Lepisosteus oculatus: one gene and its partners. The protein of the gene in region 3 interacts with the protein of the main gene of each other region in a pairwise test. Links are inferred from orthologs where the notes say so. Each region holds a gene or a part of one and is shown on either strand. Other genes may lie near its edges. The genes, in order: btf3l4, cep44, txlna and rint1.

Region 1 (8,166 bases), on a different chromosome or scaffold from region 3:
GACAGTCAGGCTAAACGAAGTGGTTTTGCTATTTTGCGCACGTTAAGGAACTCCTTTCAAGATTGTTTCAGATCACGAAAGGGCCAGAAGATCCTTAAGTACATAACTATCAGTTGGCTCATACTTTTATCCAATGTGACTTACCTTTGTACCTATTTTATACAGCTGGGCGTTCTACAAAAACAACCCAAGTGAAGTGCCATGCTAAAACGTCCAACTCCAGTGCCTCACCCAGGATTTGAACCCACAACTTTCTCAATACAAGCCCAGATCCCTCACCGCTACTTTACACTGGTGTCCAATGAAACAGACCCTGTGACACTGGGCTTGTATGAGGTTACTCACCTCCTCAATGCCTGCAATGTTGTTCACAGCCAGTTTCTTGAGAGAACTTTGAAGTTTTTTGTCATCAGCCGTTGCTGTTCTGTGTACCACCTTCTTCTTCCTACGCGCTGTTCCCTGCAGACCGAACAGGAGAAAACGTGGGACAGAGGCACACATGCGCGCGCACAAAAACAACAGGAGTGGAGGAAGCCAGGAACAGTTTTGAGGATCCAGGATGTGGAAAGCAATGAATAACCAAAACAAAACTGCAAGAGAATGACAACATTTCTCTTTGAGATTAAGCTAACATTTCAGCCAATTCCCGTTAATCACAAAGAACATAGGTTTTCATCAAAAACCTGGAAGAACTGGCTTAAATTAAACCCTTGGATGTTTTCCATCATCTATCCCAAAACCCAGAGTCCAAAATTTGCTAGAAGCCATACTACTAAACGAACTTCTACAGAATGGCTTTGAAGAGATGGGACAGTAGAGGGACATGAGCCTCTTGTCCTTTTGAAATCGCAGAGCTGGTAAAAGCCACCAGCCCCTGCATGAATGGCACAAACCAAACACCACCATGAAAGGAATGCCGATGCAAGCAGAACTAGGGCCTGTGTGGACAGCACGAAGAGCTGTTTTTTTTCTTTTTACCCCTTTGCTTTGACCAAGCGGCAAATAACAGGGGTCTCCAAACAGTGCTCAACGGGTCCGTGTCCCACTCCACTGACCGGAGGGTGAGCTTCAAAGTCATCCCCTTCATCCGCCATTATCAAGGGATGCTCAGCTCTATCAAAGCCGCAAGACTATTAAATGGATGAGTCACAGAACGACAGGTTCACTGACACGGCCATTTCTGATTCTCATCCGATCAACCCCAGTAGACCTTGACCCCACTCCCAGAACGGCAGGGTGAATGACTGTGAACCCTGCCTCGGACTGCACCTTCTCCTCAGGGGTGTGCCGGCTTCCCAGGAAGAGGGACGAACAGCTTCACTCGTGACCGACGTCATTAAGAGCACAAGAAAGGCTACAAACGAGACGAGGCCATCCGGCCCCTCTTGTCCCTTTTGTAGTTACAAGCTTAAAGCCATGAGGATCCTACGGGGCCGCTCCTCGTGGGAAGCCATGAGTATCAGCTTCAGCCACGTGGCGGTCTGATCCCGTGCAAATGCTCAGACCGAGCAAGCGTCGAGCAGCCGATGTTGCCGCCGACGGCAAAAAGAAATGTCGCCCAGAATGCCCATCGAGTAAAACCTGGCCTCCATGTGCTGGTGTTGCATTGACTGGCAGCACGACACTGTATAACCAGGAGAGTTACTGAGTTACTGATCTCGGGGCTAACCGCACTGCCGATCCAACCTAGAGTGGACTGTAAACGCAGGGCTTCTCATCACGATCAACCGTTCGAGATCGTCTGATCCCGACTGGGACCGGCAGGGTCAACGCCCCTAGAGCTGGAAGTTGACAGGGTCAGGCCTGGTGTGGCTTTATCGACGGGTTTACAGGTACAGCGTGTCAAAACAGACCGTCCGCCAGCAAGCAGAACTCAGTCCTCATCTATCAATTAAACAAGCCAGGTGGCCTCCTGGCTTGTGACCTTGCGTTCTTGAAGAAGCGCTAGTCAGCGATGTGACTGCCGCGGACCTGCCTTGTTCTTTTGGGAAGAAATCACAAAAGTACATAACAAAAGAACAAGACATACGGTTCAAAATAACTGTACTAATGAAAGCCATTTGAGAGGGATAACTTGACCGGATTTTATTCTGTTACTACTTTGAATAGCAAAGACAAGCTGTAGAGGAGATCGGGGGTGAGAAAAAAAAAGACTCCTACCTTTCCACCTATTCGAACCTGGGCCTGAAGCTTGGCTAATTTTTCTTGATTCATAGCGTTATCTGAAACACAAAAAGAACACAGCAGCTTCTGTTACTTTTACAAGAAAGAGCTGGTACCTCACTCAGCAGCTGTGCCTGACGGAGCACAGGAGAGGCAGCTGGTGAATAAAGCTGTTAAGTTACAGTCATGTACCGGAGTTTTTAAGAACTTCAGTCAAAACCTCAAACTTACTTTCTTCTGCAGGGGGACAACTGAGTTTTACTTAAGTGCTTTAAAAACCTTTTTTAGGTCCAGCATTCATCAAGAGCTTCCAACCTAAAACTCGGTTTAGATGCAGAAAAAAAAAATACAGGAATAATCATAGTGACCCTTCACGTAAAAACCAAGGCTGTCCCCAACAGATCCACTTCACACGAGAAGGGACAGACATAAATGTCAATAAAAACACGTGTTAACGACAAGAGGACATTTAATCGGCGCCTTGATAAAACCTCGCTCTTTCACGGGCATGTCAGCACACACTGACTGATCAGGAAAGAAAAAAAAAAGAGAAACTGCAACTGGGTTCTGCCCTCGGCGCACTGCCTAGCGTACGAGATAAAACACACACACCGTAGTCACAATGAACGTGCCTTTATTAAAATGACCAGCACACCCAGCAAGAATGCGCCCACTTGTTCTGATACGCGATATTAGTATCACATACGAACAAAAATACCCACAAATCCAGCTCCAGGTTTATGCCAGCACTTCAATTTCTTACGAATAAACGCTAAGGCCCATTTTCAGCCAACACAGTAGTATTTACGCAGGCTACCATTAGCAAATACCACACTGTCCACACACTGTGGCCGGGGAAAAAAAGATGACAACATTCTATGGGTTCGTTTCGCACGGTAACCTTCTTCCCCGCACCTTTTTTACTGTTTTTCTATTTTCCGTCCCCTCTGCACCACTACAGCAGAGATGGCCTCTCTCTTGACGGGGATCCAGACACAGACGCAGAGACAGGAACACGCGGCGACGAAAGATGGCGGATCTAAGGGAGAACCTGCGTCCGCTATCACGTGACGGCCAGAGGCCCCGCCCCCCGCCTTGGCGGAAGAGAGGGCTGTCGCGGTGTCGCAGTAAATAACAGTCCGCCGGCACGACTTCCGGTGGTCACAATAATTTATAATTCAGTATACTAGATAGAAAATTCTGTAACAGTAGTTTTACTTAATGACTTTTAACACTTAATAATTCCTTAAATATCACAAAATTATAATATTGTATTTAAATTATATCACAAATTATTTTCAATAATACAATAATTTTGGAACGTCAAACTACTGCTCAATAATATTTTAGCCAAATATGTATTTTGTTGCTTCATCCCATCGCTGACTGCTCTCACATATTGCCAACCGCATCACATGTTGTAGCCAATATTAAAATAGACCGTCCATTGCTAGAATTTTAGATTGTTTTATTTCATAGAAGCCATGCACTGATATAATAGCAATTAACAACAACACTGTTATCTGAACGTTGAGTTTAATAGTTTAAGATATTTGATCACATATAAAAGAGGAGGTTAAAATTCCCCTTTAAGCAACCGTATATGAGTGCTACCTTTTATTTCATTTAAATAATATACAAAAATATTGCTGGAATAGTTTTTCGTCTCAAAAGTAACTCAAGATAGAGTGGCAATCCCCCGGACGGCGGCTTGGAAACGTGCTCTTCTCTGCTTAGCACTGCCGTGCGCCTGTATGGAAAATGGAGGTGAAATATTTACGATCCCTTTAATTACAAAAAAACGCAGACCGAGCCAGCAGCTTGTCGTCACTTCCTCGATGAGGTCGGACCAGGAGAGTAAAATTACGCTGGGGGTGGGGGGTTGGATTTTTTTTTTGTTTTGGTGGCTTGGCACAAGGTTGAGTCCTATATTTACCGAAATCTGAAACTCATAATGAAGATGCAGATGCCGCTGGTTAATTTTACTGTGCTGTGCTTTTTGGTCGTTCTCTCTGTGGTTACAGGAGAGGGGCTTGGCAGAGGTGAGGTGTGCTATATTTTGGTGATGAATGTTGAATTCATGTTGGTCGGCAGCGCGTTTCACTGAAGGCATCACTGCATGTCTGTTACAGAAATCTTTGTGAACCTTGTGTGGGTGAGAGAGAGAGAGGGACGAACTGTTTTTTTTAGTTAATGGTTATTTAATCTCCGAAAATCGTGAAATTCATACTGCAGTTCTACTAGTGAGATCCATGTACAGTAGTAGCATGTAGATTTCATTTGAGACTGAAGAGGTGAACTAATCATGTTTTCTGGTGTATAAATAAAATCCTTCGTGAAATATCTATTATGCTCGCATGTACTATACTAAAATAATATTTTATCTTGCATAATCACACTCACAAATCCTTATTGGCCTGGCTGATGCGTTACAGTGTTGCGAAAGTATTTAGGGATACGTTTACACATTTGTAACAAATCGTTTACGCAAACGAGGTTCCACGACAATGCCAGCAAGTTAAGTTCGAAAAGTGTTGTCTAATGTGCTGTTAATGGAAATCCGATTCTCTTTGCGTCAAAAATAAGTAGTTTCGCTGCAAAATATATCAGGTTATCTCCTTTTAAATGCTACGGTTTTGTTTTTCCATTTGTACTGTTTTCTACAATAAAACTTCGCCATTCATGTGATTCTCCAATTCCCCATAAATGAAGGGAGGTCATCGGACTTTCTTAGGACTTTCTAGGACAGACGGTTTGATCTTTATTTAATACGGTAAATCAGATTCATTTAGGACATGAGAACGGTTACAAACGTGAGCAGGCCGTTGTTGAGCATTTTTGTTGGATTATTGTTAACTTTTTCAAAACCTAAGCACACTGACCTGCTCCTCACATTGCAGTTGTCCTGCGGGTTTCTAATTTCCCGTGAATATGCTGAAAACTCTAAAACCAGTGGAATGAGCTTAGCCATCACAGTTTAAGGAAAGGTAGGTTCCATGAGGGACTAACCAGCTTGGGTAAAAGGAAAGCTCGAAAGCAGTGCCTATTGGCGCTGCCAGTTGTGCACTGGTCCTTCATCATTTACGTCCTCTTCCTCAGTGTTTTAAGCCTCCTCTCGTTCCTGCAGCCAGTGGAGAAGAGAGTCCTGACAATACGTGCACAGCAGGAAAGGCAACCTGTTCTGTAGAGAGGAATGGGTAATCTGCTGTCAGAATACAATATGATATACAAAACTGAAATATAAGACTAGGAGTGTCGCGAAACACTAAAGGCCGGTCAAGCTAGTGAATAAGATCATTGTTGTACCTGGAGCTGTCACAGTCAGGTTTTGTAGTAACAGAACAATGGTTATGAAAGATATTCATTGCCATTACTTTGTCCTTCTGACACTTCAGTACAGAATGACCTATTTATACAGCTAGGTTTCTTACTGAAGAAGTCTCTGGGAAGTTCTGTGCTCAAGGGTACAACAGCAATACCTCGCACAGGAACTGAAACTACTACCTTACAGTGAGCAGCCCGGAGGCCTCAACACTACTCCTCAATGCTGCCTCAATCTAAAACATCACTGTAACTCTGAGAGACCTCCTCTTGCTTTCTTTGAGTTCATTAAAGAAGGAAGCATATCTTCAGAAGCACTTTCAGCGCGTTTTTCCCCACTGACTGCATTTTTATGTGCAGTATGTGACTCTTGTTAGCGGTTTTGGTTTGATCTTCCTAGTAAACTATTAAAATAGCTCCTGAAATGAATTCTCCAAGCTGTCTGTTAACAAGTGTACAGGAGGAGGTAACTGGTATGGCGCACAGTGCACTGAAAGCCATTTACTGGTATTCTATTCAAGGGATGGTTACGGTATCAGTCAAAGCCATCTTACTGAAGCCTTTGAAGAACTTTTTCCCTCATTCCAGTCTAGATGCTTTGGCTACTCTTTTGTTTTTTTTTTAAAGACCAAAGAGAGTAAAACTCCCTCTGAGCTTGTGTCGGCTTAACTCCGCCACTGGCAGAGGGATGATCCCGCTGTTCCTGTTGTTCTGCAGGGTTTGGTGATAATATTCACTGGAGGAGTCTGGAGGATGGCAAAAGGGAAGCAGATGCTAGGTAAGAACCTGAGACGCCCCAGCCAGCCCGTTCGGCATATAGTCGCCAATTGGACCCAGGATCTCGCGCAGCCAGTGTATCGGATTCAACTGCATGGCAGGGTAGCTTGTTCAACACCCCCGCCACTCTTTGTGTGAAGAAGTGTGTCATGTTCTCAATTTTACAGGCCCTTTTCCCCCATTGTTTCCACTGTGATCTGCTGGTTTGTGTTGGTCTGGTCCCCTTTGTAACATCCTCTCTTTCCAGACGAAAATATTTAGTTCTTTTAGCTTGTTGACGTGGCACATGTTAAGTCTGAGAATGTATCTGGTCACTCTTCTGAGGACTGATTCCAAAGCAGCAATATTTATTTTTGTAAGAAAGAAAATCGTACACAATATTCTAAATGAGGTATTAGTTGATTGTTGTACAAGTTTGGCATCCAATTCCTCAAATTAAACCCTACACTTCAAATTAGATATCCTAACATTATTTAATTAGAACTATATAAGTTATGTACTACATTTACCCAAAAAATACCAAAGTTCTAGTTATTGTATAAACCTAAACATCATTCACCCCTTGTTTAATATTGAGTAGAAGAGCAATACAAGGTATCATTCAAGGGTATCGGCTTCCACAACTGGGCTGGGCAGCTTGTTCCAGACTCCTGCAACAACTTATTAAATGCACAACTTCTGAGTTTCCACCCACGTCCCCTTTCTTTCATTTTCACTGTCGATCTTTGCAGGATAGACATCTTTAAATATTTACCCCTTCCAAATTGCTTGTGTATGAAATTTAAAGAATATTGAATATAAATTAATAAAAAAAAACTGATCTGAGCTAGACTTAAGAGGGAAACGTAAGAGTTGAAAGGAATAGGGTGTTTATCTTCTGTGCCAGCCTCTGTATTAGAACATGAAATTTGTTGATCCACTCGCACTTATGGCGTGCTGCACTTGAAGTGCAGTGGACGCCAGTTTTGATCTGATATTTTCATTTCAACGGAGTAATCGGATTAATTTGTGAAATAGGAGCTTCTGGCTGCATGTTCAACGAAAGTCCGAGAGCTCCCGTAATTCTCGAGGACATTGAGAAATACAGGAGTTCTCCCTGCTGGAAAAGTCAAGTTCACTCCTTTCAGCTGCATCACAGTTGGTCCACTCGCTTTCACGTAACCTCTGTCGTTCTCAAAAAAGCCTCGACATACTGTATGATCTTGGTTGTCAAGAGACGCAGGTGGAAAGAGTGAGAGACTTCCCTTTGGGATCTAGTGTTCATCTCTGTCACCTGCTGCAGTAACCCAATACTTTGAAGCACAGGGACTGTACTGTAGTTTGCTTTCTTCTTTGATGTGATCCCTTTATGTCTGTACTTAATGCAGTACTCACGATAGGATTACAGATGTCCAAAACAAGCATGATAACAGACAACTAGACAATACAGCAACTGGGACACAATAAAGTGCCTTCTGTGACGAGGTGCTGCAGAGCGGACTGGGATGTACTTGTAAGTGATGATCAGTGACCACGTGGTCTGACTGTGTGTTCTGTGTCCTCATGTGCAGTGGCCTGCCCCTCATGGTCATCATACACAAGTCCTGGTGTGGAGCCTGCAAAGGTAATATTTTATACAGCGCCTTTCAAGAATCATCAAGGCGCTTTACAGTAAAACATAGCAAACGCAAAGACACGAGAAATGCACAGGTGCACATTTGAATACGGAAAACAAAATTAGACGTGGGATAAAAGTGGTTTTTATGATGGGTTTTAAAAGATGTGCCCACTACTGTCCTTCCTTCCTTCTGTGAGCCTGTCAGCTGTACAGTCTTTCTGCAGTTCCCCCTGTATTTCCAAAGCAACACATGTGTAAATTAGCATGCTGCTGTACAGGAAGGACAGCAAGATTACAAATCAGAGGAG
Region 2 (7,397 bases), on a different chromosome or scaffold from region 3:
GCCTAAAAAATAAGATATTTAAATAGACATTCAAAAACCCTCCCATTAAGGACACATTAAGTATATGATAGTAGCATGTACAAGAAGATGGGTCTTCTTATCCTCTTATAAAACTGCATTGCCCATTTGTTTGGGAGACTTTACACGTATCTATGGAAAATATTTTTCTTCTAACTGCAAACAGTCTGCACTTCAAACAGATATCAGCGCATCTGATCTTCAGTTCAGATCTGTTTTAGCTAGAAGAGCTGGTTAATGTAAATATAAGGGTGTTTACAAAACAGCTCACTTTTCTGCTGCCAGGTCTTGAACACAGATACAGGAAAAAACTGCACTAAATGTTTATTGAAAACATACACTTTCCTTGCATTCATATGGGACATAATTGTCAATTAACTTTGTTCTGATTTCCCCAATACAGTATAATGAGAAGTGATGTAACTCTTAAAACGTTCAATTTTAAACATTCCTCTAAGGTGGAGACAGGTTAACTGTCCTTCTTTAATCTATGTAGTTAACAGTCTCATAGTCATGACACACGGTGTTGAAAAACTTTGCTGTGGCCTATTTCTTGTGGAATTTATTGGGGCAAAAACGAGGCACACAATATATTGATGCAATTCCTTACACACAACTCTTTGTAAGTCAAGACAGAAATTACTTTCATAATACCTGCTGTGTATGCGCTTATGATGAAAACCATGCACATATTTTACCGCTTATTTCCATAAAGAGAAAGAATGTATACCATATGTATCAATACCACAGCACTTCTTAAAGCATTTCCTTAATTTTAATTTCTTTTAACTTTTTTTGAAACCGCGGACATAAGAAATTAATATGGTATTAATAAACCCTGAGGTAAAATAAGGTGATTCAGCCAGGGTAATAAATCTAACAACAGGTCCCATTTTTCCAAGTTGCCTTTTTCCTTGACAGTTTACAAAATGGCATGGTAACAATAAACTACAATAGCTGCCAGAATCTCTTCCTTTTAGAAAGCTGTGACCTTACAGCCTACAAAGGTTGAAACAGAAAGCATAACAAAAAATTACATCATAGGAAATTAAAGAAACGTGCTTATACCAGATGTTAATCTAACTATTAGTAAATAAAACCACATGTATGACATGAGATGTATAGAGGTTTTATAACAGGTCCTTAGAAGGAAGCAATGACTAAAGAATAAAGTAAAAATCTCCTGAGGGCTTCTTGTGCCCCTTAAACTGTAAGGAAACCTCCATCAGACATTATGTCCATCACATTTGCATCTAAGCAATTATCTTCTTTTGTTTATAGTTACTACTACATCAACCACTACTTAATAATATAACTTAAAATCAAGACAGTGGCTATAATAATGCAATGCTTTAACTGTTTTTCTATTAGTCTGGACATCTTCACAATGTATATAGGAAACAATATTGTCCTTTTGAGATTTCGTTTTCCCAAACATAAAATACTGTTTTAAAGGCAGGAGATTCAAGTAGAATAACTTCTAAACAGACCCCCTTCAGACTCTTGAATCATCATTTCTGCTTTAGGTCCTATTTTGCCTTGCTCAAGAGTTAGTTTTTTTTTCCCCCAAGTCATCTTTAACAGCTGCTTTAAAGTTGACGGGCTGCACGTTACAGATTCTACACAAGTTTTCTAAAGCTCTGCTAGGTTGTGATTCACAGATCACCAACAGCATTCACCGTGTCTGGGGATTTAAAGCTTTTCAGGGCCAACACTAGCTCAGAGGGTACTGCTTTTAATTGAGTCATACATTCTACACATATCCTTTATATGGCCTTATATACAGTATTTACACCAAAGTAGACAACTCTTTATCATTACAATGAATTGGCAAAGGTGACAAGGCTGCATGGGCGGATGGGAGAAATGGAATACAAAAGACTTTCGTATAGCTGACAAACAATTATACAATCGCTCTTACCCAGTGTAATCCACTTCTCTGGGATAATTAAGTAATCGAAGATGTTGGTCGAGCTTTCTCAGACTGCCTTTCAGATCCCCCGTTGCCATTGTCACTGAAGATTTTTGCGTGTGTGTGTGTGTTTACCTGATGTTTCTGAGCATGAAAAAACAGTGGTCAATACGTGAAGCATTTTTCACTACCCGAATAATGACGATAAATTACAAAATACACGACTCGATTAAATGTAAGAATACATTCTGAAAGGTACCGACTACCGTACATGTGGTTTATCTGACAGTTTGCCCATTTCTCTTGGGCAGTATCTGTAACGTACTGTGCATTTATATCGTTTCTTGTTATTGGTACGTACCTTGCTACCTACAGTAACTAAACCAACAGTTTCCTATTAATTTATTAAATCAGTACAGTTGTGAGGAAAAGGGTTCTGTTTGAACTTATTCAGCTGCTTTCCCTGTTTCATTAAGTCGTTTCAGAAGCCAGGAAAATGCAGTGTTGCCACGATAACTCCGAGAACAAACAAGAACAAATGGATCGCCCACACCAGAACTGCAGCAACTGTTGTTTTAGATTTACTGTGATTTGTGCTGAAGAAGGTTATATATAAGGTTACATATTGTGGTGAGAAGACCACAATATGTAACCTTGAAAACGGTGCAACACGTAAACCGACAAATTAAGAGATGGTGCCATTAAAACAAAAGATACAAAGTGCAAGTCAGATGATTACTCTCGACTTGTTAGAATAATGCAATTTGAGTTCCACTGCAAACTTTGTACATGCACCAGCGCTAGGATTTGAATTACCAATAATAACATTTGAGCAATCGACAATTATTGCAAACTTGAAACTAACAGAACTTCGTAGGTCTTCTTTTAAAATGTTAAGTTTTTAACTACATGCACCTTTCCTCTTTAAAAAGTTTTACTTACCAGTTTATTTACAGCTGTAGTAACTAAAACTCAACAGCAATACAGTAACAGCAGTGACAATTTATATATCAGCTGTATCTGTAATTAAAATCTAAAACTTGTAAATGTTACACTCGGTTACTGTTATAAATCACGAATTTATTTTCAGATGCGAAACCCTGATATAAACTATCTTGCTAACTACCGTAAACACAATTCTCCTTTACAAAAAAAAAATCAGTTTGTTCCTTGCCGGGTTAATCATGGGAACTGCCGCCATTGGTTAACTACATATAAGCATACAATTATCTTTAAATTAAGAGACGCACATTCGATAACAATTAAAGTCAATCTGTTTGGCCCAGGTGGTGAAAATATTTTTTTTTTACTGAATGTAACGAAATTTTACATTATTGGATAGCATGAATGTGTTATGCTGGTTAAGTCTGTTTTTTTTATAAAGGAAATTGATCCCAAGATAGATTTACTCATTTACTTTCTTACGTCATTTCCACCAACAACACGGGACGTCAAAAGTGACAGCAGTGGAGAGGCTGACGGAGCGAAGTAGCTCCGGCGGTCACGGATAGGAGGAGGAGGTGGCAAGAGGCGCTACAGACGCAGGTTAGACAGTACTCGATCTTCCTGTGGAAAAGACGGGGCAGCTTTGGTCTCAGATGGGTCTGCTTGGGAACTGATCGCGGAGGAAAAGAGAAACATTCCTGCGAAAGTGCTTGTTAGTCTTCGCTGTTTCGTCGCGGCGGCGGTGGTAGAATTCCTTAGTTTGAACAGGTAGGTGGCGTTTTCTTATGTTTTGTTTTTCCCTTGTTGTTGCTGTTGCTGCTGTTGTTGTTGTTGTTGTAAATCAACCGAACTTAACAAAGAAGGGAAAACATTTGAGTGTCAGAAGGCCAGGCCAATCACAGCAGTGGCAGATTTCTGTAGAAGCCACCTATGGTGGAGTACAGGCGTGGACCTCAGTCAAGCTTGCTGAAGCGGCACCAGAACCGCTGGGACTTCTCGGGGAGCTTTTTGAACAAAGTCGTGCGCAGGACCTGTTGTTTTGTCGGACAATGCAGTAGGCACAGCTTCGTCACGCCTGTGACGTGCAGTGTTCAGTCGCCTGGTGGCACAGCACTTGTCACAAGTTGGCGACGTTCATTTTTCCTGAGTATTTGGTGATTTATGATCAACACTTGTTTTCACAGCCAACGGGCGACTGGATCTTATGAGTAGCTTCCCCGCGAGTTGTTAGTGAACTCCTGCTGCGGTCACAGCCGAACACTAGTCGAGTAATGCTTTAATAGTCGCCGGAGGTGCGTCGTTACATTGATTTTAATATCAAATACAAATATAAGAGATGTACCTAAATTCTACGAACTGTAAGTGTAGCCAATGGACAAAATACTTCATGAGAACACCAGATGCTGTTCCGTAATGCTTCAGGGTGGATAGCTGAACTGTAACACTTTCTTTGAATTACTACTGATATTTTTGGAGAGTTGGTTGTCATGCTTGTAGATTCTTGTCTAATGTAGCTATTAATGAAAGAATACTATCATAGTTATTTATCTGTGCCAGCAGCCTCTGCCCCTTTTGGCCTAAATCGGTCTCAGATCTCAGAAGCTTGCAGCGTTTTTCCGGTCAGAAACGTCTCCCTGGACCAGAATGTTCGCATCAATACCCCAGTCTGGTGACAGTGTGGAACTGCACTGTAGAAAGAACCAGTCCTTTAGCATCTGATGGCATTGTTAATGAGAGGAGTGCTTTTAACCCTGCTGTCCTATCTCTTTGGGATTGTGCATTCTGGCCTAAAAGGTTTCCCCCCAATTCAGCCATTAAATATATTTCTGACTTCTCGACCCTGCCTTACTTGTAATGAGGCTACTGGTGCATAATTGCATCAGTCATGGAGGCTGCAGTTTATATCCTACATAATGGAAGTAGTATTTGTAAGTTGGAATTATTATCACAGTGGGCCTGCTTTATGAAATCTTGTGCTGTTCAGCAAGACGCATCACATTTTATATGTGTAAACCCAAAGTAAGCACCTTACTTCAATTATTAACTTCTTTTTTTTTTTCAGACTCTGCAGGTTTAGGCCTTCTGAATCTCAGATGTTGACCCTGTTCTTGCTCTAGGCAGATCAGCAAAACGGAGCTGCGTACTCATGTACAATGCAGTAGGCCTATACAGTATGTGAAAAATACAGCAATCTCCTCACTGGAGGTTAGTGAGCATTTACATTTGAAAATGCCTTGAATCAGTCTTCTGTTTCTAAATAAGCGTATTTGCTTCAGAAAGCATGCCTTAATCTACCCCCTTCATTAAATGTATTTTTTTTTCTTTAAGAGAATCTGTATTTGAATAGTAGAGACGGCAGTAATCAAATTTAAGTGTAAAATAATGTATTATCACTGAACTGCGTTTTTGTTTAGTAGGAACCACCACTGAGAATCAAGTACTTGATTGCCACCTAGCCTACTATATGTTCGGAGTCGAGTTGTATAAGAGTATCCTGCAAGATATCAGGAGTTTTCCAAAAAACCTATTATGAATAAAATGCATCTACTGAAGCTACCTCCGTTTGCTGTATAGTGGTTTCCAGTCTATGAGAAACACACGTAACACCATAACAAACAAAAGGGCAGGAAATCCCTTTCTGGGAGTAGTGTGTTATTGCAAGTTATTTTTGGTTTCAAGTGAAACCTGTAGACTTCAGATATTTTACTGAAGAAAATCTGAAATGGCAATATCGAGAGAAGTGTTTGAAGATGGCTAGCACACTGGCACAATGCTGCCTCTCCGCACTGAGGCCCTGGGTTCAATTGCTGGGGTGCTATCTGCATGGTGTTTGTATGTTTGTACATTGAAGCACCCAGAGAAAACCCACATTTTCTCCAGGTGCTCTCTTACAGCTCAAAGACATACTGGCAGGTTAATTGGCTGCTTGGAAAAAGGTGCAAAAGTGTGTGTACTCTGTGAAGGACTAGCGTCCCATCCAAGGTGTACCCTGCCTTGTGCCTGTTACCTGCCTGGATGAGCTCCTCCCCTTCTGTGATCCTCTGGTGGAGAATGGATAAATAGACATCTGTTTGAAGAGAACAGCTTGCTGGATAGGTGCTCATATTGAGTCCTGGTATATTCATTTAAGTCTAAAAAATTTTGGTTCATAATTCTTCTTGACAAAAATTATGTTTCAAAGTTATTTAAAAACTTCAAACCAGATGTACCTGTACTTTTTTTTTCATTTCAGCATGTAATTTCATTCTCCCCTTAATATCAGTGATTTCACTGCTGAAAACAGATATAACTGTGTAAGCTTTTTTTATTTTTTAGATGATTAGGTGTTTTATAGAGTCTGTTAAAGAGTTTGTGTGTATATCCATGTCTGAATTTGTATGTGTTGGTATAGCAGTGTTTTATGTTTTTGACTGAGGGAGCTATACAGTTATTAACCCATCAAAACATTTGGTAGGTAATGTTTGAAGATGGGTGGCACATCGGCACAATGATTAGGATAAAGATGCACACCATTCAGTTTGTTGGAAAAAAATATTTTTAGACTTGTCATTGTGTTAAATTATCTACGGTATATCTGACCCATTTCAAAGTGTAGTTGGAATGAGAGGGATGTAGCCAATGGATTCACGTCACAAGCTAGTCTTAATAGAGCAATTAACGCTTCCCTTTTCAGCTTTTTCCCCGATGCAGAGATGGAAAAAAAGTAGAATATTGCAGAATTTACCATTAAATTGAGCTTTATCTCACTTGGTCATTTAAAAATATAAATGTCTATCTTTTGGTAATGTTTTTCAACTGTGAAAATGGGATGGATGCCTTGTGCAACGCTATTGAATAATCCCTGATCACTCATATTTGTGTTTTTATGTTTTTTAAGGTTTTTGTACAAGATTCTGTACCGTGTGCATTACCATTAATACAGAAGGTTTTCTGCTGCATCAGAAATAAATAGAAATCAGTACTGTAGACATGATATAGGATAGGATTTGATGTTTTGCGCACATCAGGCCTCTTAACTGGCATCCTCTCATTTATAGCTTTGTGCTTTTAGCCATGTTGTTTGAAATTTTGAAAATAATATGCATTCTATTTTATTTACTCTTACAAAGCTTTGCCCACTCCTTATCTTGTCTGTACACTCTATGCTAGAATGTTGAAAAGCAAGTTCAATTATAGTGTCAGAATCCTAAAGCTGTCCTGCCCACATTACATTTTAAACAATTAGAAATATTTTAGGAATGCCTCTGTGGGGGATGATTCTGTTAGGTTGTGATCACAAAGCTGGTAACTTGGCAAAATAATTTTGAATCCCATTATAATTAAACAAATAACATCATAGATAAAGCAATGAAGGTGCTCTCATCCCAGACCAAATATGTAAAGATATGTTTACGACATAATTATATACTTCTAAAATAATAATAAAATAACCCCACTTTAGTTAGCCTATTAATTCTAAATAGGTTGAAAATCCAAGTACACATATGAAGAAGGGCTTCTCCTCTTCCTTTTCAGGCCTGTC
Region 3 (8,049 bases):
AAGGACAAAGGAAGTGCACAACTTGAGCAGGACCACTGACATTACCGAAGACAGGCGGGTGGTCATGTAGGTTCCAAACCACACGTGCTGGACAATGTCTCGTCTTTGTTCCCCCCAGTTCAATCTAAACTATTTCAACTGAGTCTAAAGCCGCAGGAGAACTGCCCCACTGCTCCAAAGTGCAGTGACCAGCGAGTGAAAAGTCTTACCGAGGCCCTTAACCTTTTTCTTCTCCTGCGGTTTCTTCTGGTCTTTGTCGGCGACGTCCCCGTTGAGCTTGGGCTCCTCCGTCTTGCCGTCTTCCTTCTCCGCCAGGCCGTTGACCACCAGGCAGTCCAAGTCGGGCTCGCCATTGCGGGGCGACTCGCTCCTGCCCTCTGCTGGCTCCGGCGGCGCCCCGTCCTCCCCGCTGTCCTCCTGGCAGTACGTGTTCAGGATGTCCTCCAGCTGCCGGCTCAGCTCCTCCGACACGTCGCGGGACACCGCTGTGGAGGGCGGGACGCGCACCGTCAGCGCGGCGCCGACACCAGTAACGGGGAGTAACGGCTGCAACTACTGAGGCAGACACTCTCGTCTAAGCCGCTCAAGCTAACCTCACTTAGAGACACAGTCTAACAGTTCTAGGTTTCAGATCGAAATGTTTTAAGATGCTACATTTGTATCTGACGGACATTTGCAGGTCCCATCAGGACACAGGAGAGCATGGAAGGAGTGTAAGCACTCTGAATGGTGGTACGTCTAAGTAACGCTGGCACATAAAAAGATAGAAGCATCATCACCTTAAGACCTGAGGAATAAGGGTTTAATTGGAATAATAACTCTTCTAATAGTTCACCAACCACAAGGGATCCTAAGGCTGTTCATGACAAAGAAATCTAAAATAACAGCTACATTGTGGTCACCTCTAACAGGGACTTGAGAGCTCTTTCCAGAGAATGTCAAGCCTTTCACCAGTGGGGCCTTTAAGTCATCTTTGACCTTCAGGACAAGAAGCAAACATCACATATGGACATTCTGGATTGTCATTTCATCTGTTTCCTAGTGCCTCGGCAAGGTTTTGATATTTGTTCCCTGCTGGGGAGCTGCAATACTCTAAGGACACTGCATTCGTAAAGCCTGCGATTTGACGAGATGTGCAATGAAAAACATCTTTTACCTATCGCCGGAATAAAAAAATAGATTCATGTTCACTGGTGATTGAAGATGTTTAAAGCCCCCATCAGTTTGCTATTTCTGGTAGCTCCAACGCAAGCCTGGACTGCAATCATGTGAGCTACCCTAGCAGGGACCAAACCTATCCCCCCACTGGCTGTTAGACTGTCTCCACTTTATTCAACTTCAATTCCTTCTGTCCTGAACTTCAGCCAAGACCAGGACTAGCTGCTTAAATGGTTTCCCACAAGACTAAGAGGTTGGGGTGGTAGGTTCTGTTAGAAGACATACAGTGTGAAGTAGTGTATGATCTCCGGGTTATTTCTCTGCAGCGCTCCACAGATGCGAGAGCAGATTCCGACTTACCCCCGTTCTTGGCCTGCGTCTCCGGAGGCGGAGTGTCAGGCTGCTGGTTGTCCGCAGACTCCTGGCTGCCAGCGCGCTCCAGAGCCGCCCCTTCCCCTTCTCCGGGCTGAGCCCCACTGCCTCCGCACAGCTGCTCGGGCCCTTCACTGTCCTGCTTCTTCATCACGGCGGCTGCCAAGAGGAAGGGCAAGGCATGATGGCTGGAGCTCTGCAGTGGCCGCCGTTTTCACTAGACGCTGCTGTTGCTGCGGTTACACTGCAACTGAGGTGGTGATGATCACTACCCATGCCTGACAGTGACCTCTAAAAAGCCAGAAATTCCAATGGCTTACACGTCATGTATGCAAGGGATTACCTTTTCAATTTTTAATTTCAAGGAAAAGGCTCGGGCGGCACATTGGCGCAGTGGTTAGTGCTACTGCCTCTCAATGCTGGGGCCCTGGGCCCAGTACCGGACCTGAGCTGCTATGTTCACGGAGTTTGTACGTTCTCCCTGTGTTTGTGTGGGCTTCCTCCCACAGTCCAAAGACATGCTGGCGGGGTAACTGGGCTCTGGGAAAACTGGCCCAGATGTGAGTGTGTGCGTTGGTATCCGTGTGTGCCCTGCGACGGACATGGATGGATTTCAAAGACAACATTTCCTCCTCTCAGAGCAGAAGAGAAAGAACAACGAAATCGTGAAACAGACACAGAGCTTCTTCTGAGCGCGCACCCCTGCTCCCTTCGACACCCTTCAGGCGACAGGCACACGTATCCTGTCATGAGCTACGAACCCTATTAAGAAATTCATTTCTCTTGCGTGATTTTACATCATTCCAGGGGATAGATCCCCAAATTAAGCAAGGAGCACGTTTAGAAATGCGCACACATTTCCTGGATTTCGCAGAACCAAACCAAGATGAAGCCAAACGTGAGAAACAGGAGACAGTGCAACAACTGACTCGGTCTGTTACTTCAGTGACACGTTTCACACGATTAGCCGTTTCTTTGAAGCCACTTACACCGATTTCAAAACCAGCCTCTACAATATTATTCCGGATCAAGGCTCCAACAGGACTGCAGTAAGACCCCGATACGCCTGCGTACCTACACTAAAATTGACATGAGATTCCGTTGTGACAACGTTATTTTTTGTTTTGGAAATCACTGAACTTCAGTGGCTCCAACCGCCTGAAGCCAGCCCTACGACACTTAAGTGTCTTATTAGTATCGGACATTGTTTTATTTTCGCTTCGTGTATCAATCCAAAGTTTCTGTTAACCCCTCAACAAATAGAATCATTACTTTAAAACATGCGTAGGGTTGTCCATGATAACGCATTTGAACAGCATCACGTAGGTGGGACAACACGATTAAAAAAGGCAAATCAAGTTACATTTGGCCGACTGTAATAGACAGTCCCCTTTAAAACCAACAGTGATACAAAACTAGTAACAGACTTTCTTAAGCAAAAAAAGGGGTGAGCTAAACTTAAATCTCTTTAGAATATAATCGAACAAAAAATCCATGTGGATCACAGCTAACGACAAAAGTCACTACGATATCAGCAAAATAGGATTACTGAAAAGAACCGAATAATTCTTCATCACGTTCACTAGCTACTCACAACTTCACGTTATCGCCTATACATACAAAACACAGTTTCGTAATTCCAGTCTTGCTAAAAAAAACTAGGCATTTTGTTATTTCTACGACACTTACCACTGAAATAATATCTGTATCGTCTCAAACGAGCAAATAAAACACTTCAACACTCTGCTTTCCTGCCAACTGACACACCGGAAATACCGGTGAATTGGTACATTCTGATTGGCGACGCCGTAAGCGGATGTGCAAGATAAAAGGAAAAGACGTTGGGGGAAAGTTGGAGAGGGTGGGCCGGAGTTTCGCAATGCTTCATGGTCGATGTAGTTTCTTCCTGCTTCTAGAGGACTTCAATCACCACAATGCGCTTGGAAAAATAAACTTTCTGTTTCCCATAACCGTGACACAAAAAGCTGTTGGTAAAAAGCGAAACTTGCTCAGATAAAACAATTATGGCACTCCTAAAGCTAACAAATTCGCCCCCGGACACAAAAGACAATTCTAAATTATTGTCCAGATCTAAATAAATAATGATAACCGCTCATACTCTATTATTGGCACCTGTTAAGGTCTGTGATATATTTTATGATTTGAGCATAATACTTTAAGCAGTGATACCAGCGTGTAATGTTAAAATAAACCTTTAAGGTAGTGGTAGTATATAGCCATAAATGAAACTTTTTTTTTACTACTTTAGGTAGGGTTTCCATTTGAACGTTCAAAAGAGAGGCCACTCTGTCGACGGATGACAGTGGTATTTGTAGCAGGGTCTATTAAAGTATCTAAGGAAAAAAATCTCTGTTTTGAAAATTCCTCCTGGACAGATAATTAAGAACTACAGGAGTGGACACGTCTGGAAAAAGACGTCTGTATGGTAACCCCACTTCATGGGAATCCTAACAAAATAATACATTTTATACATGTACATGTATTATTATACAATAATACGTGTTTTTTCACACATTTGAAAATTTCCAATGGTTCTCTGCAGCCCTGAAGAGTTTTTTTTCCTGCTTTCTGATGTATTTACGCTTGGATTTTATATTTATCGATTTTTTTTTAACAGCTTTATCCAGTGCTTGGTCACGGAGAAGCCAGAGCCTATCCTGACAAGTGCCTGGGGTCCAAGCAGAGTATTCCGTAGGTGGGACACCAGTCCCTGGCAGGGCACACACACACACAGTCACACTCACGGCAGGGCCAACTTTCCCAGAGGTCAGTCAACTTACCAGTATGTGTTTGACTGCAGAAGATTGCCACAGGGACTGTGGGAGCAAACTGGGAGAACCTGGAGGATCCCCACAAGAAATGGGGGAGAACATGCAAACTCCACTCACATGGCACACAGAGAATTGAACCCAGGGCCCCAGTGCAGTCGGTATCTTTGACCCAAACGCATCCTCGCCTCGCAGAGGCTGCCAGACTGGAATATTCCAGCAAGGACTGCTCCATTACGGAGGGGGTGTGACCCTGATCCAAGATCCTGATCTGCAACCCACATCTTTGCATGTGGGCGTCCTCTGGGTACCTCATTTTCAGGATGGACACGGTGTTTGGCATGTAATGTCTCAGCACTGCACTAATGCTGTTTGTGACATCTGAAGGAGATTGGAGATTGTCTCAGTAAAACGTCACATCCCAGTCTGAAGCTTGATCACGCTCTGCATGAGACTATCATACGGCAACACACATGTTCCTGTTAGGAAGCAATATGTCATCTTACTGCAGAGGCGCCACAAGTTTCAGTTGAATCAATGGGGCCTATACACTGGCCATGCAGCTCAAAGAAGTCTTGAGGCTAATCATAAGACTTTATTGATCCCAAAGGGAAATTGAGGGATCGGATTAATCAATTAAATTAAGATCAGACAAGATTACTTTATTAGCCATATACAATTTCTTGAATTAGGAATTGCTCTTTTCGCATACCCCAGCTTGCTCTCCATAGGACACAGGCACACAGACAGAGAGAGAGAAGCTTGGGGTCAGCCATTTAGACAGCACCCCTGGAGCAGTTGGGGTTAAGGGCATTGCTCAAGGGCCCAATGGATTAGGATTCCTCTGGCGGCCGTGGGATTTGAACTGGCTACCTTCCAGCCACAGAGCCACTGCCCCGCCCGTTAGGGGTAAATACTTCCTGGTCCCAGTTTTTATGTAAAGGATGTTTGCAGTACATGCAACATGTGAATCACAATTAACTGGATATGTTCAGAATTTATGTCAGTTTCTTCTTCAGGGCAGTGTTTTCTGTTTCACCAAGGAAACACAACATGAAACATCAGAATGCAGATTTTATTTTAATCACACTGGTATATATGCATCTCTCCCGATTCTGGTGCATACTAAGGTATGCAAGACAATTGGTAGATTTTGTAAGTTCCTATAACTGGTCACAACACAAAGAAAACACACAAAGATTGCAACAAGATTTCAATGACATTTTTATTGAACTTTTATTCTCTTACAGTATTTGTAACCCTACATAACCTTTTTCATTTATTTTGTTAATTTCTGTTTCATGTTCATGTATATGTGTATCATGTTCTGTTCGTGTTCACGTCTGAATCTGTCCTCACACTCATTCACATGGTCGGCTGAAGAAGAGTCAGTGTCAAAGCGTCAGTCACAAGCAAGCCAAAATCAAATACAAAAAGAAAATAAAGGACCAAAAAGGGATCTCAGGGTTATCCAGTATAGCATATATCAAATCTGCAGAAACACTTTCTACAGCCCTTTCCAATTCTGTCCTCACTCCCCACCTCATTACAAGTACGTGATCCATCCTGAACCATAAAACTCTGCTCTGTGGCACATATGAAACATGCATAACTACCCTGTAAACTGAATTGGAATACATACAATAAGTGTTTAAAATATGCAACATAACAGCACAAACACCTTGCATAAAAGCTCTGTAAAGGAAACAGTAAAATAATAACACCAAGACGTATCGGAAATGGAAGCAAGACAGGAAGGAGGGAATTAAAACAGACTCGAAGGATCAGTATATGGATGTGGCTATTTTAAGCTACTGGCTGATCCTGATTTGTGGAATTCATGACCGAAGACAACGAACACTTCTGCAGTGTGAGAATACAACTATCAACACATGAAGTTAGTGCTACAACTTGCAACTGGATTTGTTCTTCCAAGTTTCTTGATTGATATGTAAGAAACAAACCTGTGCTTAAAATTCCACCAGATTTGTAGAATATTCCCAACCACTTAAACGAGAAGGGTGGATTTATCCTCTGTCCGCACAAATGGGGGGAGGTTTCTATTGCTATATCTGCATGGTTCATGTTTTCACAGTTTGATTCGGGAGGTCTGTAAGGAGATTTCTTTAACTAGAAATTCAGAAATTCCGCCAGTCAATTTTATCCCATCCTAATCCCAGCTGACTAATGTCAGTAACCCCCACTGACCACCAACATTCAAAGAAGACTGGAAAAAAAAAAAATCTGCAAAGCTGGTGAACAGACTGTGGAAGTCTAATGACTGACCAGAGGTTCGAAAGCCCAGAAATACTTTGTGCTGACCATTCTGTGACCACAACCACTGAACTGAGACAAAAACCAGAAGAGCTTGCGATCGCTCGACATGGAAGAGCCAAGCAGGTGCTGCCCAAAAACCGTGGCTAACTTCTGCAGCATGCTGCCATGAAAACAGGGAGGTGCACCCTCAGCACGGCAGGTAAGGTTCATACAAAAACAATGACCAAAACTCCGGATACAGATACCATGGCTTCCATCACTAGCAGATCTGAAAACAGTACTACACAATAAATTAGAAAAACAGATCAACCCGACAATTAAATAATTCTGATCCAATATAAAGAATTTAGTGCAAGAACAGTAAAGGACACCACTTTTTTTAAAAAAATGTAGCAGGTAATGTAACTTCATCAGTTAAGCAAATAAAGCAGCAAAGTTTGCACAAACAATTGTGCACATTCAAGTACAAAACAAGAAGTCATAAAGACCAAGAAGATACTCAGACAAACCTTCAGGGACTTTATTGGTCAGATTGGCACTTCAGTGAATAGAGGAGTGCATTACTCTTTTTTGTTCCAAACAATATTCTCACATTCTTCTTGTGGATATGTTTCCTGTTATTTACATCTACAGGTGCAAGTAAACTCTGGCTCGCCAATCCAGTAAAAAGCTCTCGGGCTCCACCCTAAAGCAAAAGGAGATGTTTTTCTCCATTCCTTCTCATTTAGACATTTTTATTAGTAACACACCTGTTGCTTAGTTATTTTTACATGCCAGTGTATGGCACTTTCTTGTAGAACTTTTTTTCCCCCCAAAATACCCAACACCTATAAAAAAAAATCCAAGACCTAGATGTATAAAAACATCTCATTTTCAAACAATCTGGAATATAGCCAATTGACAACGTAGAACTAAAATGTACAAAAACTGTCAATAAAAAAAAATACTGGAATATTAATAGATATTAAAAGGAAAACATGAAGATGGGGAACATTATCACAGGGCTGCAACCCAGCTGCATTTTTGCATAGTTAACAGCCTACACATCTGAGCTTTGAGGGCAGTTACTAAACCAGCAGAAGTGTCTTGTATCTGTGAACAGCAGCAGGACAGAAAAGCAAATGAGAAACTAGATTCTCACAGAAAGCACGCCCAGCTCTGCTGTAACGCACTGTGGGAGCTTTCTGAAAGGATGAGAATGTCTTGCAATATTGAATGATTCACTCTGGATAATCATTCAAACATCACACAGAAGGCAAAGGCAGCTGAACCTCTCTCACAAATATATGCATAGGTACAAATCACACCCTTAAATAACATACATTCATAAACACACACACAAATTTATATACATATGCGCACACACACGACATGCATCCTCTGAAATGTCTTTTATGGTCAGCTAAATCGGCCATTCCTTTTACAAAACCGTGTTACACCTTTTTAGACTTTT
Region 4 (8,184 bases), on a different chromosome or scaffold from region 3:
ACTGTCTCTCTCTCTAGGGTCCAGCAGCTGGCCAGTGCGTGCGTGCGTGCGTGCGTGCGTGCGTGCGTGCGTGCTGTCTCTCTTTCTAGGGTCCAGCAGCTGGCCAGCGTGTGCTGTGATTGTGTGTGCCCTGGTGACTGGGGTGGTTCAAGCTGTGCAGTACTGTGCTATTGTGCTTCTGCCCCTCCCCCTGCTCACCTGAGCTCCTCGATGCGGCCCAGACACCTCAGGTAGCTCAGGTGCCTGGCAGTGAGGTCCAGCGTCCCCAGGGGCGGCCCCAGCCGGTCGGCCCAGCACTGCGCCCCCTGCAGGTGCTGGTGCAGCGTGTTGGACAGCGCCCTCTCTCTGCAGAGCAGGTGGCGCAGGGAGTCCTGGGCCTGCTCCGCCGCGGACAGCGCCGCCGACACGCGGAGGGGCACGGTGCTGGACACGGTCAGCACCTGCAGCAGGGGAGAGCAGACCAGGTACGTGTCCGTGTACGCGTCATGAGCACAGGCACAATGACACGCTTATCTGCATGTACACTCCAGTACGAAGACATTAAGGAAACCAAAAAACAGAAACACAGAACAACAACAAGTTAAATAACATATAACTTAAAAAAAACAAGTCAGACAAGCAGGGTGAGAAGAAAAGACAAAAAAAAGGCCATCAGTGTGAGCCAGCGGCAGGGGCAGAGTTCAGTAACCTGACAGCTTGTGGGAAGAAACTGTACGTCTGGATCTGGACGTATAAGCCTTTATGCTCCTATAACACTTACCAGAGGGAAGGGGGGAGACAGATGAGAAACCGGGATGATTGTTGACGTAAGTGATACCTGCAGCCTTCTTGAGACAGCGAGTTTTAAAAATGTCCACAATGGAGGGGAGCTGTACCCCAATAGTACACAGATTACGCAGTGACCACACAACACCGCCTCTCCCATCAGGACACACACAAACAACACAAACTGGCATGGGACAAGGAGAAACAGATTCTGACAAAGGACAGGCTCAGTGACCACAGCCTGGACATGGAAACTGGACACAGACCTGACTGCCCAGAGAGGACAGGCTCAGTGACCACAGCCTGGACATGGAAACTGGACACAGACCTGACTGCCCAGAGAGGACAGACTCAGTGACCACAGCCTGCCCATGGAAACTGGACACAGGCAGACCTCACTGCTAAAAGAGGACAGGCTGTGCTCCCACTGCCAGTTGGGAGACATAGGGACAGAGAAAAAGTTTCTGCTGCACTGCAAAAAATTCTCAGGGATTAGGCCAATGTTCTTCCCTAAATTACGACATCTAATTCCAGAATGCCCACTCCTGCCAGAATGGGAACAGCTTCAATAGAGCTGCAGCCCAGTATGTGATCTCCTGTCACAGCCTGAGGAACAGAGTGAGCATCCCAAATTATGGCCAGCAGCCATGTCACCCTGCAACTCACACCTGGCAGCCCACTGAAGCTCAGCAGGTGTGAGCCTGGTCAGTACCTGGATGGGAGACTCCTGGGAAAAACTAAGGTTGCTGCTGGAAGACATGTTAGTGGGGCCAGCAGGGGGCGCTCACCCTGCGGTCCATGTGGGTCCTAATGCCCCAGTATAGTGACGATACTTCGGATGAGACATAAAACCGAGGTCCTGACTCTCTGTGGTCATTAAAAATCCCAGGGCGTTTCTCGAAGAAAGCAGGGGTGTAACCCTGGCTTCCTGGCCAAATGTCCCATTGGTCCTTACCAATCATTGCCTCCTAATAATCCCCATCTCTGAACTGGCTTTGTCACTCTGTTGTCCTCCCCACTGAGAGCTGGTGTGTGGGAAGTGTACTGGTGCACTATGGCTGCCGTCATATCATCCAGGTGGGGCTACACACTGGTGGTGGTGGAGGTGAGCCCCCATTAACCTGTAAAACGCTTTGAGTGGAGTGTCCAGAAAAGCGCTATATAAGTGTAAACATTAATGCCTTGCTTATTGTTGCAGTAATTCATCGTTCAGGCATCGTTCAAGCTCAGCGAACCTGAGTGCCTGTCTGTGCGAGTCGCCCTGATTCAAGGTCTCGGTGGGAAACTGAGCCCCCTGCACAGAACAGGGCTGCCCAGGGGCCGAGCTCATCAGGGGGAAGAGATCGCAATATTTTCAACCCATCGCCGGAAGAGCGAGGACTTCTTCACACCCACCGCTCAGACTGATGTCACCTGCTCCGCATGAGGTCTTGCGCAGGGCAACCGCCCCACAGACCCCTCCTCATCTGGCACAACTCCCGGCAGAGGCCGAGCCGGGCTGCATGAAAGCGGCGCTTTCCCACGTCTCGGCTGGACTTTATGCAAAGGACGTTTTCTTTTGTGCCCGAAATGATGTGCATGACAATCGCACCCCGATGTGCCAAAGCGCTCACCGGCGGAGCGCTAACGGGGACGCAAACACACACAGAAAACTTCTCTCTCTCACACACACACACTGGCGTGTGGACTGTCCGTGTGTCTCTGCGGACTCGGCTCGTACACTTCAAACCCCAGTCTGCGGGCCGGTTCTCTGTCGTTTCCCTGCTTATTAGGATTTCAGGCACTTTTCCCCTCCTTGTGCTGCAGCTCATAGCGGGCGTGAAGAGCCTCATGTACAACGAGGATCAGCAAAGCGCGACCGTGTCGGCTCTGTGCCCCGGTTATTCCGACAGCTTCTCCGGCATTATGATGAGTTGTTGTTATTAATAATTACCCGTTTCTTACACTAGGACCCGAGAGGGACCAGGGGCGTCGACCCGGGCGTATAGCAGTAACAAACAGCCACTGGTTACTGGTCTCTCAGTAATAACGGGCTGAGCTACACTTTATACTGGCCGTATTATAATGAATGCCCTGCGCCGGTCCCGTCCTTTTATCCTCTTCGGGGCGGACAGCGCTGCAGACGGACTGCCATTGACCCACCCCGAGCCCCCGTCACCCGTGTCGCCCACCGGCTGCCCTACCTGCTCCTCCAGAAGCTTGTTTTCCGCCAGCAGGCTCTCCAGCAGGGCCCTCACTTTCCTCAGGGACTTCAGATCCCCGCCGATCTCGCTCTCCACATATTGGGTGACGTGCTCCGGGATGCCGTCCTCCTCCTCCCTGGACCCCGGACTGCTGTCCGGGTTTCCCGAACCGGGTAGACCGCCGCTTCTGGAACAGCCCCGCTCGCTCGTGGGCGCCGCCATATTTACTCGCAAGCGTCCTTCTCGGCCCGTCTCCACGTCAGCAGCAAGCGGGGGGTCGGCGCCCTCTTGTGGCAGCCAGAGGCATTGCAGGCGCTCCCCAGCCCGAGAGATGCCCTTCAGTTTGTTTTGTTTCATCAGCACGTAGGTGACAAACGAGGCGCGTTTGACCTGTCTAACACGTTTGGAATTTAGTACCTAATTAATTGATCCCAGGATCTCATCCAGCTGCTTCTTGGAAGTAAGAGTATCAGCTTCAGCAACATGGCCGAAGCAACATTGTTCCACAACCCTCTGGGTAAAGAAGTGCCCCCTGTTCTCGGTTTTAAATGCTCTTCCACATAGGTTTGTGCTTCAGTGCTGACTTTTGTCAGTGTCTTTGAGGATTTTGAATTATTGAATCAGGTGTTGCTACTAGCTTCTATATAACAAACAAGATGGGTTGAATGGCCTGTCTGCTCTCCATCCTGCAGACAAGAAAATATTTCCGGGGATGATGCAGAGGCAGTAAAACCCCAAAGCCTGGACTCAGTCAGGTTTGACTTGGCCATGCACAGCAACCCTTTTCTGTGATGGCAGAGAAGGATTCCACCATCACAGTGGAAACCTTACACAGCCTTTGTAACGTGCAGCTGGAGCAGAGCACTTCGGCTATGACTGTATCCAGGCGACGTTCTCTCCAAACGCCTCTGGATAAAAGCACCTGAAAAAATGCCCAACAATAATATAGGATGCAAAATGGCGCCATAAGTTTACAGTAAAAAAATCTGAGCTTCATGAAGAGCTCATTCCCACTAGCCCGCCGTTGCTTGTCCCCTGCTGAATCTTCCCTTCGGGAAGGCTGGACAGACTTGTTTAAGACATGTGGACAGACTGACCTGAGGAACAGCTCTCACACATGCCTGCTGACCGTTCCTGCTGGACCATTGCATTACAAATGACCAGTCTGACTGTGGAAAGTGAGCAAGGCCCTACTTCTAACAGGGTTCTCCTCTTTTTCTGACCACCCATCGTCCTCTCCCAGAAACCACAGGAACAGATCAAAGCAGACAGCCTAGCACCATCCAAGCCCATGCCACGCAGGTCCTGAGCTCAGGGAACATCACTGTATTATTGCCCTTTTATAAGGCAATAACCAGAGTGGAAAAATCACCGTACATACATGTTTTAGGAAAATAAAACAGAAGTATTTCAGCTGTTTGAAAGGTTGCCCATATAGAAGTTGTTTGTAGTTTCGGTTTTATGAATTGATCATTCATGATTGACTGTGGAAGTCATTTTGACGGTTGTGTAGTCGCTGAATCACTTCATTAGAGCTGACCGAGCACAGGGGATGAGGCGATTCAACCTGTTCAAGGATTACCCTGAGGGATCAAGAAAGAACACCCCAGAATCTGTCCAGCAGACGAAGAGAACAATGTCTTTGTGCCGTCAGAATGTGAAAGGCTCGACTATTCCGAAATCTGGCAAGATGTTACAACACGTAACAGCACTGACAGGGACTGATCTGGGAAAGCACGAGTCGCGATACCTCGCCAGAACCGACATCATGCACCGTCATCTCAAACTGCCACTGGACTTGCAGTCCGTTACAGTTCTCAGCTGTGGGGGCAGCTGAGCAGCCACTGTCTGCAGGCCAGACAATCACACAGAGGCCTAATGCTCATCAGAGTAAAGGGGGAGAGAGCCCTTGAGCCAAGGCCTCTTCAGAGATGAAGCATCGCTCTGCGTCGACCACCCCGATTGATGTTACAGATGTGACGGTGGTTGTGTACACTGGGCAGAAGTGTCCACTCACTACAGAACTCCACAGGCAGGGACTGACAGGAACCTGGCTGTTATACTGTGGAATCCCTACTATCCTGATGTGAGCCCCATCAAACATTTCTGGGATGAGCTGGGGTGATGTGACATCTAGGGCTCAGAGACCAGTGACCAGGCACAGGCTCCAGGCAGTAGGAGAGGAAAGGGACAGAATCCCACATCACAGCATCTGCAACCTGGTACAAGTCACGAGTCCCAGACGTACAGCTTGTACTTCCTCCCACAGTGGCCACACATGCTACTAGCCTGACCTGGGTATCCGCTATACAAACTGTCCTGATAATGTCGTGAATTTGTCACACCTACAGGCAATGTATTTTAGGTCACGTCTTTTCAATACAATTCAAAGTACTTATTACAAAAAATATCTTCCCCGATATGGCTGTAAACGTGTTGGATCCATAAGTGATGTATTTTATATCCGGTACACGATTTTAAATTACGCACGGGAGTAACCCCCCACCCCCCACCGCCGTTCGATCCACACAACGACACAGACTCTTGTATCGGCCATTTTATTCTTCGAGGAAGTCATCATCCATACAGGTGTCCAGTTTAAAACAATGGCGGCGGCGGCCCAGCGGGGCGGCTCAGGCACAGTGTGTGAAGCCGAGCAGCAGGGTGTGGCCGTCCCAGACGGAGTGGGCTGCAGTCACCAGCCGGCCGTGACCAGGACACACCTGACCGGGAGAGTACCAGGGTCCGATTTCATCTCGCTCCCTGGCGTCTGCTAGGAGCTTCTCCACCAGAGGCAGTGCTTCCCAAACCTCTTCAGATCACGGCACGCTTTTAACGTTAAATAAAATGCACCCATATTGCCAGAGTTAATTATTTTAAACTCTCAACATAGAGCAGTGGTTCCTAACCCTGGCCCTAGAAGAACTGTACCTCTATTTATTGCAGCTGAGTAATTAATCACAGGCTCACCGATCTCAGTTACCTATTTTGTAAATTCACCTGCAGCTCTTAAAAGGTCGATCGGGGCTTGTATTTGTCATCTGCTCTGTACCAGTTTCTGAGCTGCAGAGCTGCCCTCCTCCAGCAGCGCTCCCTGAAATGTAACTGATCAGACTTGTGCAGAAGGAGAAGCGCTCATTGCGTCATTCCCACCTCTACCTGCTCACCAGCAGCTGATCGGCTACCAAGAGCTGTTCACTCTGTAAGGTGAGGAGAGGCGGCACAGCGTTCTACATGCTGAACGTGTTGGGAGTGGTAACCTTGAATTCGGGAAATTTTGACACACAGGACTTACAGATGAAACAAGTTCAATGAAAGTCTAAACAAGAAAGCAGATCAATTAAGTCATCGATCAGCACTGGAGCAAAGACTGTTCCTTCAGGAGCAGGGCTGGGTGCCATTAACAGACTATAGCTGTGATGAGAAATATCACAGTTCACTTTTTTGGACTAGAAGCCTGATGTGATGATCTGAGTTTGTTTCAAGGGACAGAACTGTTTACCCCTTCGGTTCAATGCTGGGAAAAGCCACACAAAAACACAGATCTTTAAACAATCTCTTCCGATTCCACATGGGACCAGTTTGGGAAGCACTGCTGTCAGGGAGTGGGGCTCGCCATGCGTCACAAGATGAAAGGCTCCGATGGGCGGGCACGTACACCTACTCTCATTCTCCACTGTGCGGCTTTTTCAGCAGAGCTCTTAAACAACGGGCAATTTCAAATGAGAGTATAAAATAGAACATAACCAGGGGGCTACAAATGAGAAAAAATACCTCCCTGCACAGATCCCAGGGCTGTTAGAAACTGCTTGGCACAGAGAGTCAGTAGAGTCTAATCGCCACCTCCCTGCTCTCACTAGTGCTGTAAAGTAAAACGATTTCACTTCCCCTGCTTTCGCCTTAAATTGTAACACTTAAAAAAAAAGTAAAAAATAAAAACTTGCCCTTGTGCAATATTCTCCTCTCTCGTTTAAAAACACTGCTCAGAGGGGCGGCCGTCCGTGTGCAGGCCTGCTGGGCAGTGTGTCTGTCCTGACCCTTGACCCCTAGGTGTGGCCAGACCACAGCACTGCAAAACACACACACGCAACAGACGCGGCTGTACATATATACAGGAGCAGCAGCAACTTGTGCACAGCTGGACAGCCGCACAATCACGCAGCCCGGCTGTGCGGCACTGAAGCCACACTCTCGATGCCGGGTCAGGCGGCGCAGGTCAGCAGAGCCAGGTAGTGTTGAGCTGGGTCTGGTTCTTGATGCTGGTGTCCATCTTCAGTACCTCGCGGATAGCCATGGTGGCGTAGGTGGAGGGGGGCAAGGAGAACTCCATCCTGAGAGCCCGGTACTGACCCTCTAGAGACGGAGAGAGGAGAGGAAGGAGTAAATCCCAGTGCTCTGACACCACACTGCACCGCGAGGTCCCGACACCAGCTTTGAAGACGCCTGACTACACACTGTGGCAGATCACACCAGGCCTTCCTGTCCTTGAGCCAGCAGCGATCCCCCTTCAGAACTGGCAGCCCACTGGAGCTCCGCAGGCGTGAGCCTGGTCAGTGCCTGGAGGGGAGACTCCTGGGAAAGCCAAGACCACTGCTGGAAGAGGCGTTCGAGGGGCCAGTAGGGGGCGCTCCGTGTCCCAATCCCAGCTGGACCTGAAGCCTCCTCGGACCCACACCGCTCCCCCTTCTCTCTCTCTCTCTCTCCCTCTCTCCCTCCCTCTCTCCCTCTCTCTCCCTCTCTCTCCCTCTCTCTCCCTCTCTCTCCCTCCCCGCGTGTGTCCCCGCGTGTGTCCCCGCGTGTGTCCCCGCGTGTGTCCCCGCGTGTGTCCCCGAGGGGAATGGGAGAGAATCCAACTGACCTTTGGGGAAGACCGGCGGCGGTTTCCCCTCCAGCTTCTCGACATCGGTGTGCACCAGCGGGATGCGGGGGTCGTCGTAGCTGATCACCTCCCTGCGGGGACGGGGACAGAAGAGAGGGGCGCCCAGGCCGCGGTCAGCCCAGGACACGCGAGGGCCGCAAGGCCAAAGCCACCGCCGCCTCCAGACGGCACAGGAGAGCAGAAGAGGGCGGTGGCACACACCAGCAAACATGTAGAAGACTCGTGGGGAAAAAAGCTCATTTAGGATTTGCATTACACTGCAGACAACAGAACTAGCATTGCATGAATCTTGCACCCAGGGAGTTGACTCAGCTGGGGGCACATCTTGAGTTTTCACGGTAAAGAATACCCTTAGCA

Evidence for each region.
Region 1: the proteins of txlna (region 3) and btf3l4 interact in binary tests that used the Homo sapiens proteins (3 or more experiments, as listed by UniProt). The two-hybrid records come from large-scale screens. The link is inferred for Lepisosteus oculatus from reciprocal best matches to the Homo sapiens genes TXLNA and BTF3L4.
Region 2: the proteins of txlna (region 3) and cep44 interact in binary tests that used the Homo sapiens proteins (3 or more experiments, as listed by UniProt). The two-hybrid records come from large-scale screens. The link is inferred for Lepisosteus oculatus from reciprocal best matches to the Homo sapiens genes TXLNA and CEP44.
Region 4: the proteins of txlna (region 3) and rint1 interact in binary tests that used the Homo sapiens proteins (3 or more experiments, as listed by UniProt). The two-hybrid records come from large-scale screens. The link is inferred for Lepisosteus oculatus from reciprocal best matches to the Homo sapiens genes TXLNA and RINT1.

What each region holds. Positions count from the first base shown.
Region 1 is NC_090704.1:3,619,419-3,627,584, forward strand, and holds the start of btf3l4 (transcription factor BTF3 homolog 4), read right to left. Parts: upstream 3,249-8,166; 5' UTR 3,079-3,248; intron 2,223-3,078; 5' UTR 2,215-2,222; coding exon 2,161-2,214; intron 460-2,160; coding exon 346-459; intron 1-345. Other genes in the region: txndc12 (thioredoxin domain-containing protein 12), read left to right, coding at 4,118-4,205, 6,202-6,262, 7,812-7,864.
Region 2 is NC_090696.1:73,394,633-73,402,029, reverse strand, and holds the start of cep44 (centrosomal protein of 44 kDa), read right to left. Parts: upstream 3,430-7,397; 5' UTR 3,356-3,429; intron 3,155-3,355; exon of another isoform or gene 2,873-3,154; intron 2,075-2,872; 5' UTR 2,029-2,074; coding exon 1,940-2,028; intron 1-1,939. UniProt on the Homo sapiens protein: Centriole-enriched microtubule-binding protein involved in centriole biogenesis. In collaboration with CEP295 and POC1B, is required for the centriole-to-centrosome conversion by ensuring the formation of bona fide centriole wall.
Region 3 is NC_090706.1:3,310,655-3,318,703, reverse strand, and holds the start of txlna (alpha-taxilin), read right to left. Parts: upstream 3,331-8,049; 5' UTR 3,220-3,330; intron 1,690-3,219; 5' UTR 1,682-1,689; coding exon 1,519-1,681; intron 486-1,518; coding exon 210-485; intron 1-209. UniProt on the Homo sapiens protein: May be involved in intracellular vesicle traffic and potentially in calcium-dependent exocytosis in neuroendocrine cells.
Region 4 is NC_090702.1:48,097,313-48,105,496, forward strand, and holds the start of rint1 (RAD50-interacting protein 1), read right to left. Parts: upstream 3,221-8,184; 5' UTR 3,171-3,220; coding exon 2,949-3,170; intron 441-2,948; coding exon 199-440; intron 1-198. Other genes in the region: pus7 (pseudouridylate synthase 7 homolog), read right to left, coding at 7,165-7,301, 7,807-7,898. UniProt on the Homo sapiens protein: Involved in regulation of membrane traffic between the Golgi and the endoplasmic reticulum (ER); the function is proposed to depend on its association in the NRZ complex which is believed to play a role in SNARE assembly at the ER.